Linked DNA regions of Arabidopsis thaliana. The protein of the gene in region 3 purifies or fractionates together with the protein of the main gene of each other region. This does not show direct contact. Each region holds a gene or a part of one and is shown on either strand. Other genes may lie near its edges.

The links.
Region 1: the proteins of AT1G54450 (region 3) and AT3G57890 fractionate together in Arabidopsis thaliana (co-fractionation; one large-scale study listed by BioGRID). This does not show direct contact.
Region 2: the proteins of AT1G54450 (region 3) and AT2G42230 fractionate together in Arabidopsis thaliana (co-fractionation; one large-scale study listed by BioGRID). This does not show direct contact.

Annotation. Positions count from the first base shown.
Region 1 is NC_003074.8:21,436,479-21,442,507, reverse strand, and holds AT3G57890 (Tubulin binding cofactor C domain-containing protein), read right to left. Parts: upstream 4,425-6,029; 5' UTR 4,238-4,424; coding exon 3,731-4,237; intron 3,220-3,730; coding exon 3,112-3,219; intron 3,024-3,111; coding exon 2,883-3,023; intron 2,738-2,882; coding exon 2,363-2,737; intron 2,278-2,362; coding exon 2,173-2,277; intron 2,044-2,172; coding exon 1,903-2,043; intron 1,565-1,902; coding exon 1,361-1,564; intron 1,250-1,360; coding exon 1,157-1,249; intron 1,063-1,156; coding exon 951-1,062; intron 857-950; coding exon 813-856; 3' UTR 620-812; downstream 1-619. Other genes in the region: AT3G57900 (import inner membrane translocase subunit Tim17/Tim22/Tim23 family protein), read left to right, coding at 1-35, 123-227.
Region 2 is NC_003071.7:17,592,903-17,598,764, forward strand, and holds AT2G42230 (C-CAP/cofactor C-like domain-containing protein), read right to left. Parts: upstream 3,764-5,862; 5' UTR 3,662-3,763; coding exon 3,176-3,661; exon of another isoform or gene 2,996-3,175; intron 2,901-2,995; coding exon 2,760-2,900; intron 2,636-2,759; coding exon 2,255-2,635; intron 2,154-2,254; coding exon 2,049-2,153; intron 1,962-2,048; coding exon 1,821-1,961; intron 1,683-1,820; coding exon of another isoform or gene 1,677-1,682; intron 1,543-1,676; coding exon 1,339-1,542; intron 1,232-1,338; coding exon 1,139-1,231; intron 1,043-1,138; coding exon 931-1,042; intron 847-930; coding exon 803-846; 3' UTR 509-802; downstream 1-508. Other genes in the region: AT2G42220 (Rhodanese/Cell cycle control phosphatase superfamily protein), read left to right, coding at 1-39, 145-249, 339-403; AT2G42240 (RNA-binding (RRM/RBD/RNP motifs) family protein), read left to right, coding at 3,942-4,205, 4,296-4,358, 4,570-4,654, 4,753-4,809, 5,055-5,127, 5,358-5,406, 5,520-5,608, 5,678-5,747 and 1 more.
Region 3 is NC_003070.9:20,335,696-20,341,685, forward strand, and holds AT1G54450 (Calcium-binding EF-hand family protein), read right to left. Parts: upstream 4,075-5,990; 5' UTR 3,841-4,074; coding exon 3,709-3,840; intron 3,348-3,708; coding exon 3,099-3,347; intron 2,994-3,098; coding exon 2,888-2,993; intron 2,808-2,887; coding exon 2,708-2,807; intron 2,569-2,707; coding exon 2,463-2,568; intron 2,311-2,462; coding exon 2,220-2,310; intron 2,049-2,219; coding exon 1,907-2,048; intron 1,827-1,906; coding exon 1,679-1,826; intron 1,590-1,678; coding exon 1,480-1,589; intron 1,387-1,479; coding exon 1,104-1,386; intron 1,016-1,103; coding exon 875-1,015; 3' UTR 508-874; downstream 1-507. Other genes in the region: AT1G54460 (TPX2 (targeting protein for Xklp2) protein family), read right to left, coding at 5,212-5,511, 5,898-5,990. UniProt on the Arabidopsis thaliana protein: Probable regulatory subunit of type 2A protein phosphatase.

The DNA.
Region 1 (6,029 bases), on a different chromosome or scaffold from region 3:
CTGTGACTGGTTTTGCAACTGGAAAGACGTCCCTCGTATTGAAAGAAACGTTGCTCTTCCAGGACTCATCAGAACGTTGAAGATGATGGGAAGCCACGGGCTGACTTTTGCTGCCATTGGAGGTGTTCATTGGTGTTGAACAGTTGGTGCAGAACTTTAGAGCTAAGAGAGATTTCTTCAATGGAGCACACATTACAATGACTAAAGTAGCAAGAACTCATTATTAGCTGGATCCTGCGCTCATGGATATCTCTGTTCCATCCCATGTCCTTCTGTTTTTGTATCTTGAGATGTTCATGTTATGTTGCATTGTTTGGATGTTTCTACGAATATGAGATTCTGCAAATATGAGAAATTTTGGAGCTCTAAAACTTCTTCAGAAATTTGCACCTACCATGGTAGTAGCCTAACTCTTGCGTCCACTTAAATCTATTTGACCAAGACAAGACTATCTATCAAAACAGTTTTGCTTACAAGTTATAACTTATAACAATTCAAGTCATCATGCTCTATTTGAAGATGAGATTTTCAATAGAGAAGGGAACAAAAACGATGGATTGAAATGTCAAGGAAAGAAAAGCAGAAATCAAGAAAACAATAATCTAAACGAAAGCTTTAAGAGAGTATTTCTGTGCAGATAAGTTACGTTGTGAAGTATTGGTTCCAAACTACAAATCACTGAATCAGGCTGATTTCTCTTTTTTCTTTTTTCTTTTGGTCTTGGGGTGGGGTTTCTTCACTAGCAATATGCCAAATATGATCGAAGGAGCTCTACATGAACAAGACACTTTCCGCTTGGTCTATTATTCTTATTAGTCACCTTGTAGGCAGTAGAGTTGCCTTATATTTCCAGATGCTGTCGCAACAAAAACATAGACTAAGTCAAAACCTAATGAATGATGCATATCAATAAAGTAAAGTAGGGATCGATTCAGAGAAAGTTTTCTTACCGTAAAGCCAGTCTTTGAAATAAACATGGAGTGCACTTGATAGCTCTCGTTTCCGGTTTTCTTCTAGAGGCGCCTCTTTTAACGATCGTCTTGTTTCTTCAAAGTTCTTAAGCTGATGACAAAAAAAATTGCAGATACAAGATCAGATATGGACAAAAATAACAAATGCATTTGTTTATCTGGTTAAGTATAACTTTAAAACATACGTTTCTCTGCTGAGCTGCCATATAAGCATCTGGCAATGGAAATGGATTGTCTTTCGTCGAACCAAGCTCCGCGCCGCTAAACCAGTTTGGGATCTGTGCCATTGTCATTGATACCACCGAAAAACACGTCATTAGATGCTTCATGACACTGAAAAGCATTCACCAATTATTGACGTAAATGTTAGACCCAAATAGAAAATGTACCAAAAAGTTTACGAACTGGTCAGGGTCTACAGAAGCAGCTGATTCAGCCTGTGCATCAGCAACACCGGCAGGATGTGACAGGGAGTCATGTGGATCCACAGCTCCCAGGGCCAATGGTTTGTCCCATTTGTTGATCGTTGGCTCAAGCCCTACCTCCCTCATGTGCTCTTCCAAATGAGAGTAAAATGTATTATATGGAGCGACCTGAAACAAAGTCAAATTGATGCCAGCACTTTAAAAATAGAAGCCCATAATCACTAGAAGCAATATCTGACAATGCCCGCACTCTTAAAAACCAGTAAAACCTTCTTGAGGAAAACATTTGACTAAACGTATCTAGCAGCAGTCTAGCCACCCCTCCAAGTTTGTTTCCACTAGACTTGATGACGTGTCCGAAACGGCTTATTAACCAAACTAACCAAACTAAATCTAGTAAAAAGTCTAGCCACTCAATTTTTTTTACCTTAATATCAGAAAGGTAAATAAGAGCAACATGACATAAAACTTGTAAATTAAACCACAATCTTAAAGAGAAGCTTCACCTGCAGTTTGTGGTTATCACCAACAATAAGTGGCCGCTGATTGACTCCCAAGAAGAATACACATTCACGACAATTGGCAATGCACACTCGTTTGGCAGCTACAATCACATGAACTCTTTCACAGTGCTCAACTTTTATTGCCTGCAGAAATAAATACGGAATTATGTTTGATACATCTTTTAATAAAAGTTGGCAGATATTATAACTTGTTAAATGTTGCTTTGACTATCTTCAGAAAAGATAAAGAAGGAAGAAGCATTGTTTCCATACCTTGCCAACAGCTCCCAAAACTATAGTAGTATCAGAACATCCGTGCACAGTTGCATATCGCAATGGTGCTAAAAGATAAATTACAGAATCATGGCAATTGACAACCTGAAAAATACACAAAACAAGGAGTTGACATGCTTGCACAGAGATTCCATGACTGGAAGAAAAACGGAACAAGGAACAGTCAGACCTTCACAGATCTACCCCTTAGATCGGAGGCTTGCTTAACAAGTGAAGTCTTGGAGACTCCCTCGATTAAACACGGGCCTCTAGTACTAGGTGCAACCTTGTTCGGAGCAGCACAAACATCTGACATCGCATCATCTTGATCGTTAGAAGGTCCGTTCTCTTTTCCAGAAATTCTCTCAGTAATGCTTTCTAAAGCGGAAGCTATGTTTTGCAGAAGCCAGTCATGCACTTGGGAAGCGGGGACTGGAACAGCGGGCATATCCGGATCAGAATTTGCAAAAAAAGGAGTAGCTTGGCTCAATGGAGATACATCAGATCCCTTATCACCAAACTGAACAAGAAAACGCAGATGCTCGAACGCCTCCATAGAGAAAACCTGAACGATATTGGACAAGAAAAAAAAAATTAACTTGTGTTCTCTTTCATTTCCTAAAAAATTCTTATTCCAACATCAGAATTTTATATTCTTGTAGCTTAGAACAGTGACACCCCCTGAGAATATAAGAAAGATTAGAACTTACCAATGATTCATCTCCTTCTCCCTCCACAGGCTCTGCAAGGAGAGAAATGATGTTTGCTAAATGTTTTTGCAGATATGACAACTGATGAGCTTCATCATCTGCCTGTGATGGCATAAATCGACGGCTGTTGCTGCGAACAAGCTGCAGAAATGATGAAAAGGAGATATAAATAACAATTTTAGCTCCAATAAAGTTGGTTCGACCCATGTGATGAGAAACGATAGAATACCAAAGAACAGTGACTGTAGAAAACACTGAAAAGCTTAAGATTATATGACTGTTTTCTAAAAGACTCAATAGAACATCCATACCACACAGGAAACAGAATATTACAGGACTGGAGACCCGAGTCAAAATTCAAGAACACACCAAGCATTATCACCAAATAAACCACGTGAAAGGACCAAACAAAATAAGGTACAACGGAAAAAGAATCAGATTCCGAACCACAAAACAAAGCAAGCTGGCGACTGTTTGACTTTAGTTAGTAAACTAACCAATTACCATTGCCCCAGAGTCATCAGAGAAAGGGGACTGGCAATTAAATACAAGTAAGCATCTTCCTCATTGAGAATTGTTACGAAACTATAGCCACCATCAATTCAATTAATCACCCAAATTTCCGACATTGCTTAACTCTAAGTTTCAGGTAAATCAAATGACTCAGAAAACTTAAACTTGCATTGCAAATTTTAGTTAAATACAATGCGAAATGGAAATAAGTTATTCTCTACCACGTTCCAATTCCATACTCGAGTACAACAGTTCCATTTCAATACCAAACAAATCGCAGGCGCTGGGATTGAGGCACATTATAATAAGAGGGCCAAAAAAAGTAAGAAACTTGCCTGAATTGGCGATAACGCAGACAAGTATCCATCAAAAGCTGAAGTCGATGGCCAAACATCAGCCACCGCTGCGGAGTCCTTATGCGTCCTAGGAAGCAACTTCTTATACGATTGAATGTACAGGAACAAAATAAGATCCCGCAAATCAGCTCCGACGGAATCAACTTCCTCAGGTTTCGCCCGAACCAGAGGGTCAGACTCGGAATGAAGCACCGAACCGAGAGTCTCGAGAACGAGACGCGCATGGTCGCCGGAGATCTGGAGAACGTCGGCGATTGCAGCCGATCCAACGCGGTTATTCGAAGCCGCATCGGCTAGCTTCTGCTTGACAGGGGCTAAGGTTTGGATCGGGTCGGTGAAAACGAGTTTCTGGATCGGGAGGAGTCCGTGCTCGAAAGACACACGCCTTGGATGGATTACTGAATTCGGATTCGTGCTCGAGTTTGGTTCAGGGTCGGGTGCTGAAGGTGGTGGTGATTGGTCGATGAGGTCTTGTTCTTCAGTCATGATTGATTCGTCGCGCGAGGTAGAGAGACAGAAGAGATAGAGAGAGACTGGTCCGGTGGTGAAGTTGCAGATCTTTCTTTGGGTGACGAATCATTTCATTGAAGGAGAAGAGCAGAGAGAGAGATGGTTACAGTGCGTGCACGTGTATGTTAGTAACGTACGCTTCGTTTCTTTGGTCGTTGGATTTACGAGTAGATTAACCTTTGATCTGAGCTATGACACGTCAGATGAACGGAGATAACATGTTAACTAAAGAGGCCCATTTGAGAATTGAATGCAAATCGCATTTAAGTTTTAGTTAGGCCATTGTTGCAATAAGTTAGGTCCTAAGCGTTCGTCAAAAGGAGAAAAGGTGATCATCACAACTCATAATTAGGTTTTACAATAGGGAAATATACTTGGTTACCTAAGTACTTGTAAGTTGTCACTGTTAATTAAAATTGTTAGAAGATTAGTGGGAAAAAGAGAGATAAAATTGGGAAGTTTAGGCCAAAAGAACTCATAACTCGCTTTCATTGCAATTTAAATATTGTCCGCTTGTTTAAGGAAAATGGTTTGCAATGGGTAAACATCGTTTAAATGAGACGGTTATGTTTTTTAGCAGTTACAGAAAAAGGCGGGTAGAAAAAAACGGTTAGAAAAGATGAACAACCTAAAATTAAACCAATTGGTAATATCGTTTAAATAAGGCGGTTATTTTATTTAACACTTACAAAAAAGACTGATAAAAAAAAACGGTTAGAAAATATATTAAAAGAAAAAATGATAAATAATTTAAAATGAACCGTTAAATAATAGTTATGATTAGTAACAAACGGTTAAACAGTAAAAAAAAAAAACTAAATTAAAATATTTAATAAATAACTAAAAATATTTAAAAAACAAAGAAAAACAAAACTCTTTAGTAAATAATTCAAATACATTACAGTTTTAAAAATCTAAGAAACGTTAAATAACTAAAATATTCCAATGGTGAACAAGAGAGGTTGCAAACTCACCTATTTTGTTTAAGCTTTTAACCGTTTGTTTCAATCACCTATTCTTACCACTCGTTTCATCCGTCTATTGCAAGCAATTATTTGATTGGTAATCAAACTAACGGTTGAATTTATCGCCGTTAAATAAATGTTATCAAGCTACTATTGGAATTCGGAAAGGGAACACTATCAACTTTTGGATTCTTAGGTTATCTCATTCATTCAGCTAGCTCAATATTCTGATTTGATTTGATTTGATCCGTTTCGATTCGGTATTTGATTTAATTTGATTCGAAAAATCCGAATATTCGTAAGATTTTGGAGCAAAGCAAATAGAAAAATATAGTATTCGTAAAAATCGAATCAAATAATAAATATTGTTTTTTAAAAAATCGAATATCCGCTTCGATCCGTATCTTTTTATATATATTAGAAAATATAGTATATCTATATATAGATATCATAAATAGTTTGTGTATTGTTGTCATTTTATGTTTTTATGTTAAGATGTTTGTTTGATCATTTTTTTTTATGTTATGTTTTGATCAATGGCATCAAAAAACTATCGGGTTTTAGTTTTGGAATTAGTTTGATAATATTTTGTTGACCGGTGATACCAACAACGGTTATGTTTGGTATTTAGAACTTATTTTAAAAGCACACGGAGACACCAATTAAGGAACGCACGGATAAATTTTTTGAATATATGATATAGTTATATAGTATACATATTTTTTTAATATTTAAATGTATCAAAGCGGATATCCGCAAATATCACAAAAAATTCCGGATATTCGAAATTCCGGATATCTGGA
Region 2 (5,862 bases), on a different chromosome or scaffold from region 3:
TTGCTTGTGTAACATCAGGGCTACAATCTGTAAAACCAGGTTTGATCCCATTTGGTTTCATCTAAGATCATTTCTTGAGGGGTTTTGGAGATAGTTTGGTTTGAGAAGGATAATGAATCGGATTTACTGTTGTTGCGACTTTAGGGACATTTGAATCCGTCGGTTCCACTGAGTTGCAGAATGCAGGCAAAGCAGGGCTTATCACAATTCAAGGCAAGATCTCAGCAGTCTTAGGGACAGTACTCGTCTGTAAGTTTAATTTACATAGAGCTGAAGAATATAGAGAATGTTGTTTGGTCTTTCCTTTGGTTATGAGTAAGACTTTGTTGAACTTGCAGGTGCTTATTTGTTCATACAGTTCTTCCCGGACCAAGCAGAGAAGCTCTTTCCTCCAACAAGCTAAGACAAGACAAAGAAAACAATTGAGGCAGACATGTTTTCACATTTTCTGCCTGTTTTGAATGTGATGCTTAAGAGAAAATTCAAAATATTTAAAATTCCCAAGTAGTAGTTACTAAAAGATTTATATATATGGTATTGAGAAAAGTTGTTATAACAATTGAAAGAAATCAACAACAAGACAAGATGGCTTAATGTTTTTCAAGGACAAAAACGTGGATATTTAAGACTAATAAATACGATAAAAGCAGAGAGAAACCTACACACAAAAAAACAGAGCTTTAGGAGTTAGAGAGCGTGCTGTGCAGTTAAATTCTGATGTCAAACGTGCTAGCAAATCTCTGAGAAGGAACGGATCAAGAGAACTCTACAGTGACTCTGACATTTTCAATCGCCATTGGTCTTAATCGCCTTGTAGGCAGTAAAGTTGCCGAATATTTCCCGTCGCTGTCACCAAAAGAAAGAGATACATATAGATCATTGGCTGGCCAAAGGAGTAAATGAACTAGAATGGGGATTTTATTTGATTACCGTATAGCCAGTCTTTGAAATACATGTGGAACGCTGTAGTGAGTTCTCGTTTTCGGTTTTCTTCGAGAGGTGTTTCTCTCAAGGATTGTCTTGTTTCCTCTAAGTTCTTAAGCTGCTCAAAACCAAAACACAGTTAAGGGATCAGATGCTGAAGTATGGATGAAAAAGAAACGAGCAATTTTATGCGGAAAGCAAATAAAAAACATACGTTTGTCTGCTGCACTGCCTTATATGCATCTGGCAATGGAAATGGATTGTCTTTCGTGGAACCAATCGCCTCACCCGCAAACCAGTTTGGGATCTGAACCAGAGACATTGATGTGAGAAATTAACCCACGAACACAATCTTAATAACCAATATCACTAGTTACTAGAGGAAAATTAAACTAACAAAAAGGGGAATCTAACCAAAAAGGTAGTGAACTGGTCAGGGTCCACACAAGAAGCCGGTTCAGCTTGTTTATCAGAGGCACCAGTCGGATGTGATAGTGAGTCATGCGGATCAATTGCTCCGAGCGCCAAGGATTCGTTCCATTTGTTGATAGTTGGCTGAATTCCTACCTCGGTTATGTGCTCCTCCAAGTGTGAGTAAAATGTATTATATGGAGCAACCTGGAACAGATAACAGTCACATTGATGCCAACAGTTATAGACAACACATCAGAAGATGTTTCCACTTAACTCAGTTGAAGAAGTGACTTTAACAGCATGCTCAATTTTCCAAACACCAGGAACCATTAATACGATCATGACTATACCAGGATATTAACACAGGAAAGATTTAGCCTAGAGTTAAAAGAAAAACTGTAGTCTATTTATTAATTTCAGCTGAATATCAGGGCGGGAAAGAAGAGTTATGTATGCAGCTCAATCTTAAATAGACATATCACCTGTAGTTTGTGGTTATCACCAACTATAAGAGGTCGCTGATTGACTCCCAAAAAGAACACACATTCACGGCAATTGGCGATGCAAATTCGTTTGGTAGCTACAATCACATGAACTCTCTCACAATGCTCAACTTTTACTGCCTGCAAAGAACATAAAATATTATCACTGCATTCTAACCTGAACCTCGCTAACAAAGACTAAAACAGAAAGGAGTATATTTGCCGTACCTTGCCAGCAGCTCCCAGAACGATAGTAGAATCAGAACACCCATACACAGTTGCATATCTCAATGGCGCTAACAGATAAATAACAGAATCATGGCAATTGGCAACCTGCAGAATACACAAAACATGCAATTGACGTGCATACATGAGTAAACGAAACTAAATGAGGGATTGCTGTTTAAAATGCAAATTAGTTGTTCAATACGGACCTTCACTGATCTACCCTTAAGATCAGAAGCCTGCTTGAAAAGTGAGGTCTTAGAGACTCCCTCAATAATACATGGACCTCTGTCGTTAGATGAAACTTTATTAAGAGCTACACTAGAATCAGCCATTGCAGCATTCTGATCAGAGGCATTAGATGCCCCATTTTCTTTCCCAGAGATTCTGTTAGAAATGCTTTCTAAGGCGGAAGCTATGTCTTTGAGAAGCCAATCATTCACTTGGGAAGCAGGAACGGGGACAGCGGGCATATCAGGATCAGAATTCGCAAAAAAAGGAGTAGCTTGGCTTAAAGAAGGTACATCAAATCCCTTATCACCATAATGAACAAGAAACCCAATGTGCTCCAAACTCTCCATAGACAGGACCTGAGGAGGAGATTCGGACCATCTAGCATGAGATATTCGTTCTTTTCCATTTCCCATAATATTGCATCACAACATAAAATTTTCTATCCATCTGATACAAACATAAAAAAAGTTTAGCACATACCAAAGAATCATCTCCTTGTCCCTCCACAGGCTCTGCAAGGAGAGAAATAATATTTGCAATGTGCTTTTGCAGATACGATAATTGATGAGCTTCTTCATCTGTCGGTGATGGCATAAACCGACGGCTGTTGCTACGAACAAGCTGCAAGATGATGAAAGGAAATTTAACTTAAACTCAACAGCTACAAGGATGTCTCTACCCATATGATAGAAACAGTAATGAGAACAATTATCGGTAAAATATTTCAAATATCAGACAATCCTTTTCATATGTTTCTGAATGATAACGTAATATTATTTAACTTGCATTGCAAAATTATAGTAAAATCCAATGCAAAATGAAATTTTTTAAACCAAATAGATCACAAGATAACGTTTTGAGCCACATTACATGATTAAGAGAATAAAAAAGCTTGCCTGAATTGGAGATAATGCCGACAAGTATCCATCAAAAGCAGAAGTCGAAGGCCAAACATCAGCCACAGAAGCAGAGTCTTTATGCGTCCTAGGCAATAACTTCTTATACGATTGAATGTAGAGAAACAATATCAGATCCCTCAAATCAGCTCCCACGGAATCAACTTCCTCAGGTTTGGCCAAAACCAATGGGTCAGTCTCGCAATGGAGCACCGAAGAGAGAGTTTCGAGAACGAGGCGCGCATGGTCATCGGAGATCGAGAGTGCATCGGAAATGGCAGCAGATCCGACGCGATGATTCGTCGCCAAAGAAGCTAACTTTTGCTTGATCGGAGCTAGAGTTTGAATCGGGTCGGTAAAAACGAGCTTCTGGATCGGAAGAAGGCCGTGCTCGAAAGGAACACGTCTTGGGTGGATTATTAAATTCGAATTTTGAATCGGGTCTGGGTCAGGTGGTGGTGATTGGTCGATGAGCTCTTCCGTCATTATGCTTTAAACCAGAGAACGAGAGAAAAAGAACTGTTATGAATGAAGTTGCAGATCTTTGAACATAGGAACAATTGTCATCAAGAAGAAGAAAAAAAGAGAGAGAGTGTTATGTTACAGTGTGTGCAACCACATGCTATTATCCTACGCCTGGTGATGAACAATGGGTCAAAAAGGCCGATATTTAAATGGGCTTTAAACGGCCCATTAAGTAACGCGATTAGTTTCTTCTCCGTTGTAAACTGCGACTTTCACCGGCCACGAGATTAAGTCGTTGTCAATGGATGATTTGGAAGCTTACTATTCTCACTATAATTTACCGGCGATGGTTCCTCCTCCGCCGCCGGGAGTTTCTCCGATTCCAATTACTTCAGCTCATTCCGTCTATTTGCCTACCCATGTCTCAATTGGAGCTCGCGATGAGGTTAGGACGCTTTTCGTCGCCGGACTTCCTGAAGATGTCAAGCCTCGGGAGATCTACAATCTCTTTCGTGAGTTCCCAGGATATGAGACTTCGCATCTCCGGAGCTCAGATGGAGCTAAGGTAATCATTTTCTATCTCTCCGGATTTGTGATTTGGGTAATGATGTTTCCCGGCGAAGAGACTGAGAATCTTACTTTATTTGTTTGGTAGCCCTTCGCATTTGCTGTGTTCTCGGATCTGCAATCAGCTGTAGCGGTGATGCATGCTCTCAATGTGAGTACAAATTTCTTCAAACTTGCTCTTGCAATGTGTCGCCGATGTATCTACTTACAAAGCATTAAGTAAATTTGGTATCTTTATGGTTGTTCTTAATTCAATCTAGTAAATTGAAATCATTCGGTTGGGATTTGTATGCGTAAGTGAATAAGCTTTGTCATTTGCCTAGATTAAGAAACTTTCTGAATTTTATTTCTGAACCTTTCAGGGAATGGTGTTTGATCTTGAAAAGCATTCTACTCTTCACATTGACCTTGCCAAATCAAATCCCAAATCTAAGCGTTCAAGAACAGGCAAGTAGTAGGATTCTTTCGGTTCGGTAGCTCAATAAAAATTTGACCTTTGCTATTGTTGTGTTAATTTTTATTTTGTGATTTTTGTGATATGGTAGATGATGGTTGGGAAAGCTTGAAAAAACTCAAGTCTTGGAACACTACTACTGAATCTGGTAAGATCATTGGCACACACCTTCATCTTGAGGCTTCTTGTAACCTTCTGTATTTTATGTTTCTTGTAACTGAATGTTTGTGTAGTATATATATTTTCAAACTTCCAATCTTCATGACCATCACGCTCATGCATGCTAGCTCTTTTTGGTTTAAGATTTCACACTTGGGCTTTAAGTGCCGTCAACATGGTTTCACGTTTCTGAAAACTCACACTGCACATTCTTGCACGTTTGGGCACTAGCAGGTTTTGGCAGCTTTCAAACTCCTGGAATGAGTAGTTCTGCTTACAACACAATTGGTTATTCACCTGCACAAAGGTCATCTGCACTACTTGAGCACATTTCTAGTTCCTTGTGAATGCTTAGATTCTGTTTCTTTGTTGCACACTCTTTTCTTGTACCTCTGCCTTGAAAATCTGACCTACTTAAGGATTAGCTGAACTAGTCCTAGCTCACATGTCTAGATACTGGTTACGAGAGTGCTTGTTCTTTCTTAGCTATTAGCTCACGAAACTCAGGGTCTCATTAAATTCTTTTTGCTCGTTCAGTCAAGGAATTGCTAATGTTGCTGGGAGGGCACCGACTTCTAGAAAACCTGTAAGCTTCTGCCTATTTTATACTTCATATGAGTATTGTTTTCTGTCTGGACGAAAAACAGTGAGGTAAACTATTCTTACCAGTGAACATGACAATCTTTGTTCCTTTGACAGAGTAAGGCGGCAGATCCTTGTCCAACACTTTTCATAGCGAATATGGGACCAAATTGCACCGAAGCTGAGCTAATTCAAGTTTTCTCGAGGTAAGAATACTCTATTCTCCACGCAAAACTGTAACCACTAGAGATAGTTTTCACTCTCTTTCCTCTCAGATGCCGTGGATTCTTGAAGCTGAAGATTCAGGGTACATATGGGACTCCTGTTGCATTTGTTGATTTCCAGGTACAGCTCTTGCAATATCTTTTTCTTTAAATCGAGAGAGATCCTAGTTTGTTTAAAGAGTGAATTGACTCTCGCATGTTTACTTTGATATGTGGCTTTGCAGGACGTCAGTTGC
Region 3 (5,990 bases):
GTAGTTACCACAAATCTTTGGAAACAAGAATTCAACTCGAAATATAAGCCACTAAGTTGTTTTTTACCAAAATATCTATAAAAACTTAGTTTCGATAGCACTTAATTTAATTTTTAATATGAATCTAAATTTAAAGAGTTATTAAGTATACAATTACTGTTTTTTTCTCGGTATTTTGTATTAAAAAAAAAAACTCTACTATCAACTATGAGAAAAAAAACAACTATAAACTATTGTAGAGATTAGGAAATCATTAGAGATACAATTGGGACCAGTAAAATACTAAATACGAATTTTGAAAGATAATAATAGAAAATCATACTGGCCACGATTAGTTCGGACGTGTTTATATCTATTATCCAAGTTGCGAAATGGCTTGCATGTAGGAACCAAACGGCGCATCCGGCAATGGTTGCAATATTGAAAAACTTTTTAAAATTAAATGTTTTGATGAGAGAGATGGTGTTTGCATTCCATTGACAACTAAACTCGTGAAAACATTGTAACAACATATATACAATGAGGACATTATGTTTGTTTAACTGATCTTTATCTGAAACCGAACCGATCCGAGTAAGTATTAAAATACAATTCTGAAAAGTAAACTAATTTGATTTCATTTTACTGATTCTTTAGAGATCCTAGATTCATATGTTTTTTATATAAAATCCAAATCAAAGTTCAAAACTGTATCAAACAAATCCGAATGGTGTTTAGTTTCCATTCACCCTTATATATCATAAACCGAACAAATTAATAAACCAAATAATGTTATCCGAAAATCAAGGGCCCCATACCCTAGCTTCCTTTTTTTTTTTGATTATATTACTCATTATTGGTCCGCTTTTTATAGTGAGAGCTTACCATAAAATTCTCAAAAGGGGACCTCAAGTGAGTCGTCCCATGCTTCAGCACTTCCATTAGAAGCATCTTCGACATCTTCTTCCATTGATAGCCTAATATATTCTCTATGAGCAAAACGATCCCACTCTGTCCATGTCGGATTTGCGCGCTCCTATGTATCAGCAATCAATCATTGAGAAATGAATATCTCTATAAGTATGTATAGCTAGCTTTAAGGTATTTACTATATTTTGTGATACCTGGCGGATGAGGAAGGGATCACGCGTTTCAAACGCCATAAACTTGTTGAGGTTAAAAAGTATGTTGAAGACATTTCCAGAAAGTTTAGAACCCTTCAAATCATTTAGACAAATGAACCCTTCGTCCTCTGGTTTGACCATGTCGAATAATTGGCACAAAATATCCTCAAACAACACCGCCTCTTGCGCCATGCATTCCATTCTATGTAGCTGCTCCTCGTAAAAGAATTGCAGCTCGTTCCGCGTCAAAACTCCATTTGCATCCAAATCAATGCACTTGAACCTATATCATCAAACATTAATAACAGAATATAGCTCTTACCAAATAACACCGACACAAAGACTCTATATGTATGAAAACATTCACCATTCTCACCAATACTCAAGACTAGGTTCTGATGACTTGTCTTCTTCAGCCAATATGAAGTAAACAAAATCCTCATAACCCATCTTTCCTTCGGTTTTACTAGTAAACTTCCTCGGTACCTATTAAGTAGACCGAGTGACAAAGACATTCGGCAGCTAGTAGAAAAAAGTTTTTTAAAAATAAGAAATGCAGATGTGGAGTAGCTAACCTGTGAAAAGATTCGATCGACAATCCTATAGGTGAGCGCATGGTTACTATATCGGATGAGATTCTCTTTGTCGATTAAGAAATCATGATCTGTATCCAACTCCCAGAACTTGCAGTATATGACATAGAAATGTTCATACGAGAAGTACCTAATAAACAGTAGAGAGTCTTAATAAAAGCCGTTAATAAGCACCAATTTCATATTACTAATTAATCTTAAGACACCAACCTCAACACCTTATTGATGTCCTCTTCTTCATCGGCATGCTGCATTGCGTCAACTAAATTTCCTCGCTTAAGCTCTCTCAAGGTAAGATGCCCATTTCCACTCCTATTTATGTAGTAATATATTCTGTATATTACAGTTTCAGCTGTTGCCAAAAGTTTTTCAAATACATTACAATGGATCATATACTCAACTTTACATTCACCACATCTCATTTTAGATTTTTGTTCTATCTAATGTAAACATATCTTACTATTTCAGCAAAACTGTAAAAAAACAAACCGAACTAAAGATCACTTCATATTCTTGCACTAACCATATCTATCCTGAAATTCCGGTGTGCCTTGCAAGAATTCAAGACCAGGGTGTGTTGCCAATAATTCTTGAAGCACTGGCTTGAAATCATCCTGTCAATATCTCAAGAAGTTGAGAACTCTCGAGTATAATTCCAGAAAAATAATAGTTGATACATATACAAAGAGAAGGATAAATAATTAAATCATCTACCAATGTGGCAAAAAAAGGGTGATATATATATAGTGCAGCTACAAAAACCAACCTGGACAAGGTAGTTGTGATCTGGCTGCTTCAATATTGTAAATACTTGACTTGTTATCTCCTTTGTTAACATATTTCCCTTAACCCAATAATCAATGAAGTCTTCTCTGCAAAGAAGTTGGCAAAAGCATAATATATAACATGTGTTAAACAATTCATAGGTATTTATATTATGATCTCTGAACTTTATATACATTTCGTTTCACTAATCAAACTCTGTAGCTAAACATGAAAAAATTTGCAAACCTTTTCACAAAACCAGTGTTATTGGTATCAACTTTCTTGAAAATGGAGGTGGAAAAAAATGATGGAACTTTGCATATTTCAGTAGTGACTAATTTAAATTCTGAGAAACAAAAGAGGAAATTAGTCATTATAAATGAGATATGAAGATATATCTAATTAAAAGAGAAATTAATTACCAACCTTGGAGTTGCAAACCATCCTCGTGGCCATAGAAAAGACTATTGATCTTAGCTATGCACTGCTCTTTTAGATCATTTGGTGGTGGCCGACCATCTTCAAAGTAAAACTATACATTACATGAATACATAATAGAATCACTTTAGTACAACAAAAAATTGCCGAGAGAGACTATATACGATAATAAAATCAAAGGTGGATCAAAATGTTAGACCTGAGGAATGAGTTCTTTAACATGATCAGAAACTACTTTGAGAGGAGAACTAAGATTTGATAGTCCAGTTCTTTGTCTGGCGATCCGAGGAGAACCAGTTGAATTCCTTGGAGAAAGAGGAGGCCCATTGCGTGCCGGAAACATTGAAGCTAATGGACTATTCGACCCTGAATTCGTGCCAGAAGAGCCTCCTCCACACATAACATTCAAAGCCACTCCTGCCTTTGCATCATTTACCAAAGATGTAACCTGTAATCATTCATACCAATATTCCTTAGTTCCATATACCAAAACACATATTATCCTACGAGTTTGCACTAATGTCGTCGTTATGTCACCATTGGGACTCAACAAAAAAAAAAAGCACATATCATCCAAAAAATTTAAAGACATTACAAAACTTATTTCTTAATTTCATATCTCCAGAATCATATATTCCTAGTGATTTTTGCTAGTTCGTTGTGTTACCGTCCGGATTCATACCCCACATATTTCTTAATTTCATATCTCCATAGTCATCTTATTCTAGTGATTTGTGCTAGTGCGGTCATTATGTCACCATTAAAGAAAATACATATTATGATACAAGAAAAATGGAAGAAACATTTACCAAACGATTGGTTTCAGGAAGAGCAAGCCATTGATCAAAGAGCTTCTTAACAAAATCTTGATTAGATTTCATCGACATTGGCGATGTCTCTGGTAACTGCAACAGCTCTATATCTAACGTTATCGACTCCATTGTTTGATCTTTCTTCCTTCAAAACTGTGATCAAATTCTCAAAATCCTATTTCTTCAACAAGATTGCTTGATAAGAGAAAGTGAGAGAGTATTTATGATACATTTGTAGCAGTGTTTGTATTGATCGTATAATATTAAAAAAAAATATGATTCAATTCAGAAAAAGGGAAGAAAAGGTATAGTAGATCCGTGAGATGCTGGAGGAGGATTAGCTTTGAAAGTTGCAGAAATTTAAGGGTCGATGGAGAGAGAGAGGAAAAGGGTAACACACTCATTATTAATTAACGTTTTTTCTTCAGTCAAAAGTCAATAAACTATAATTAGTAAAATGTTGAAAAGATGAACTTTACTAAAAAATTGTACTGTTGACTTGGTTATTAATATTAGTGTAGTCTATACTACTAATTAACTAGTTGGCACGTCGAGCAACAAATACAGATCACAAGCTTCTTACATTTGCAATTAAAATTTTGAGTCTCCATGACATTATCAACTTTCTTTTTAAACTAGTGCTAGCCTAAGCTAAGCATCAATTTTATAGACATCATAATAACCAAATAACGTTTTTTTTAACGCAAGGCAGACGAGATTCTATGCATCATAGTAGAATTTCCCATTTACCAAATATTTTAGCTTTTTTTTTGAATTGGGTGTGACTAATAAGAAAGGCTAAATTAGGAGGAAAGATTATAAGAAGAAATATTTTTTTAGAGTTAATTTTTTAACAATGTAACAAATAATCACGAGAGTTTTTTTTATTTCATATCAAAAATATATTTTTGATAATTAAAAAAAAACATACATTGTTTGTTAATCTTATATTAATAAATCTTTATATTTGTATTTTTCTTTATATATACTTACATAAATATTCTCTAACCCGATGGTTAAGCAATCTTTTTTATTTATATTTATGTTTAAATAATAAAATATATACAATTGGTTCAAGAATAACGAATTCAAAACTACAAAATCTCTACATCTCTCATAAACTTTTATATCTATTGTACTTAGAAAAATAAAACATACAAACACAATGAAATTATATAAATAGATGTCGCTCAGCTTAACCATTAATCTAGTTATAATAATTGGGAATTTGGGATCCATACAACAACAACTTTAATATACATTTCACATTAATTGTCAAACAGATAAGAAAAGATCATACGAAAATAGAGCAGCTGATTTTAGCAATCAAATTTAGAACAATCAATCTGCAGAACATTAGACAACAAACAAACAAACAAACTTTAAACTTGTTCTTTCACTCTAAAACCTGTTCTTCTCCTTGCAGTTGCTTCTCACCATTTTTCTTGTTTTTCTCATTCACCAAAGTTAGTCAAAACGAAACTACAACTACGCGAAGCTTCACTCCTCCACAACACCAACGCCATTCTCACCAGTCTCTCCATCATGGCCACTATTAAACATTTCATGTACTTCTTCAGACTTTGGTGTTCCCTTTTTGGACTTTCTCATCTGATCTTTGCTGCTGCTATTTGGTGTCCTTGGGACACTGTTCGTTTTGACTTCATCCTTGCAACCACCTACACTGTGACGATGTCGAGCACAATGCTTCCCCTTCACTTCCTGATATGATGCGTTAACTGTGTCGCTGCAGCTCTTTCTACGGTTAAGGTTTGGTGACTTAGGCCGAGTCAATGGAAACTGCAAATCAAACAATCATAGAAAGTTAAAATCTCCGCGTTTGGAATCATTCCTACCGTAGACTACTAGAGCCCATATAACCAAAATCCAACATCTGAATACAGAAATTCAGCAACTTCTGTTACCATGAATAAAGTGAATTCACAATTGTGGTAGTGAGTTACTGCTTAAAATTAAAATAAAAACAAAGCTAAAGTGACCATAGACGTAGTTGAGTAGGATAAGCTGTTTGTGGTGAGGATAAGCCTATCTTACCCGATCACAAGAAAAGAAAACTAAATGTTGAATCTCATCATTCAATATGTTTTCAGTCTTGGACAAGCAATAAAATGAATCAAAGTGGGCGTAAAAAAGGTAAGTGAAGACAGTGAGGTTTCGTTCCATACCTTTTTCAATGGTTGTTTCGGTGGAGGACCCTCTTGGTAGAAACTTGGTACCGGATTAGCTTTGTAAGCCATGTTCTTCCTAAGTTGCTTAGT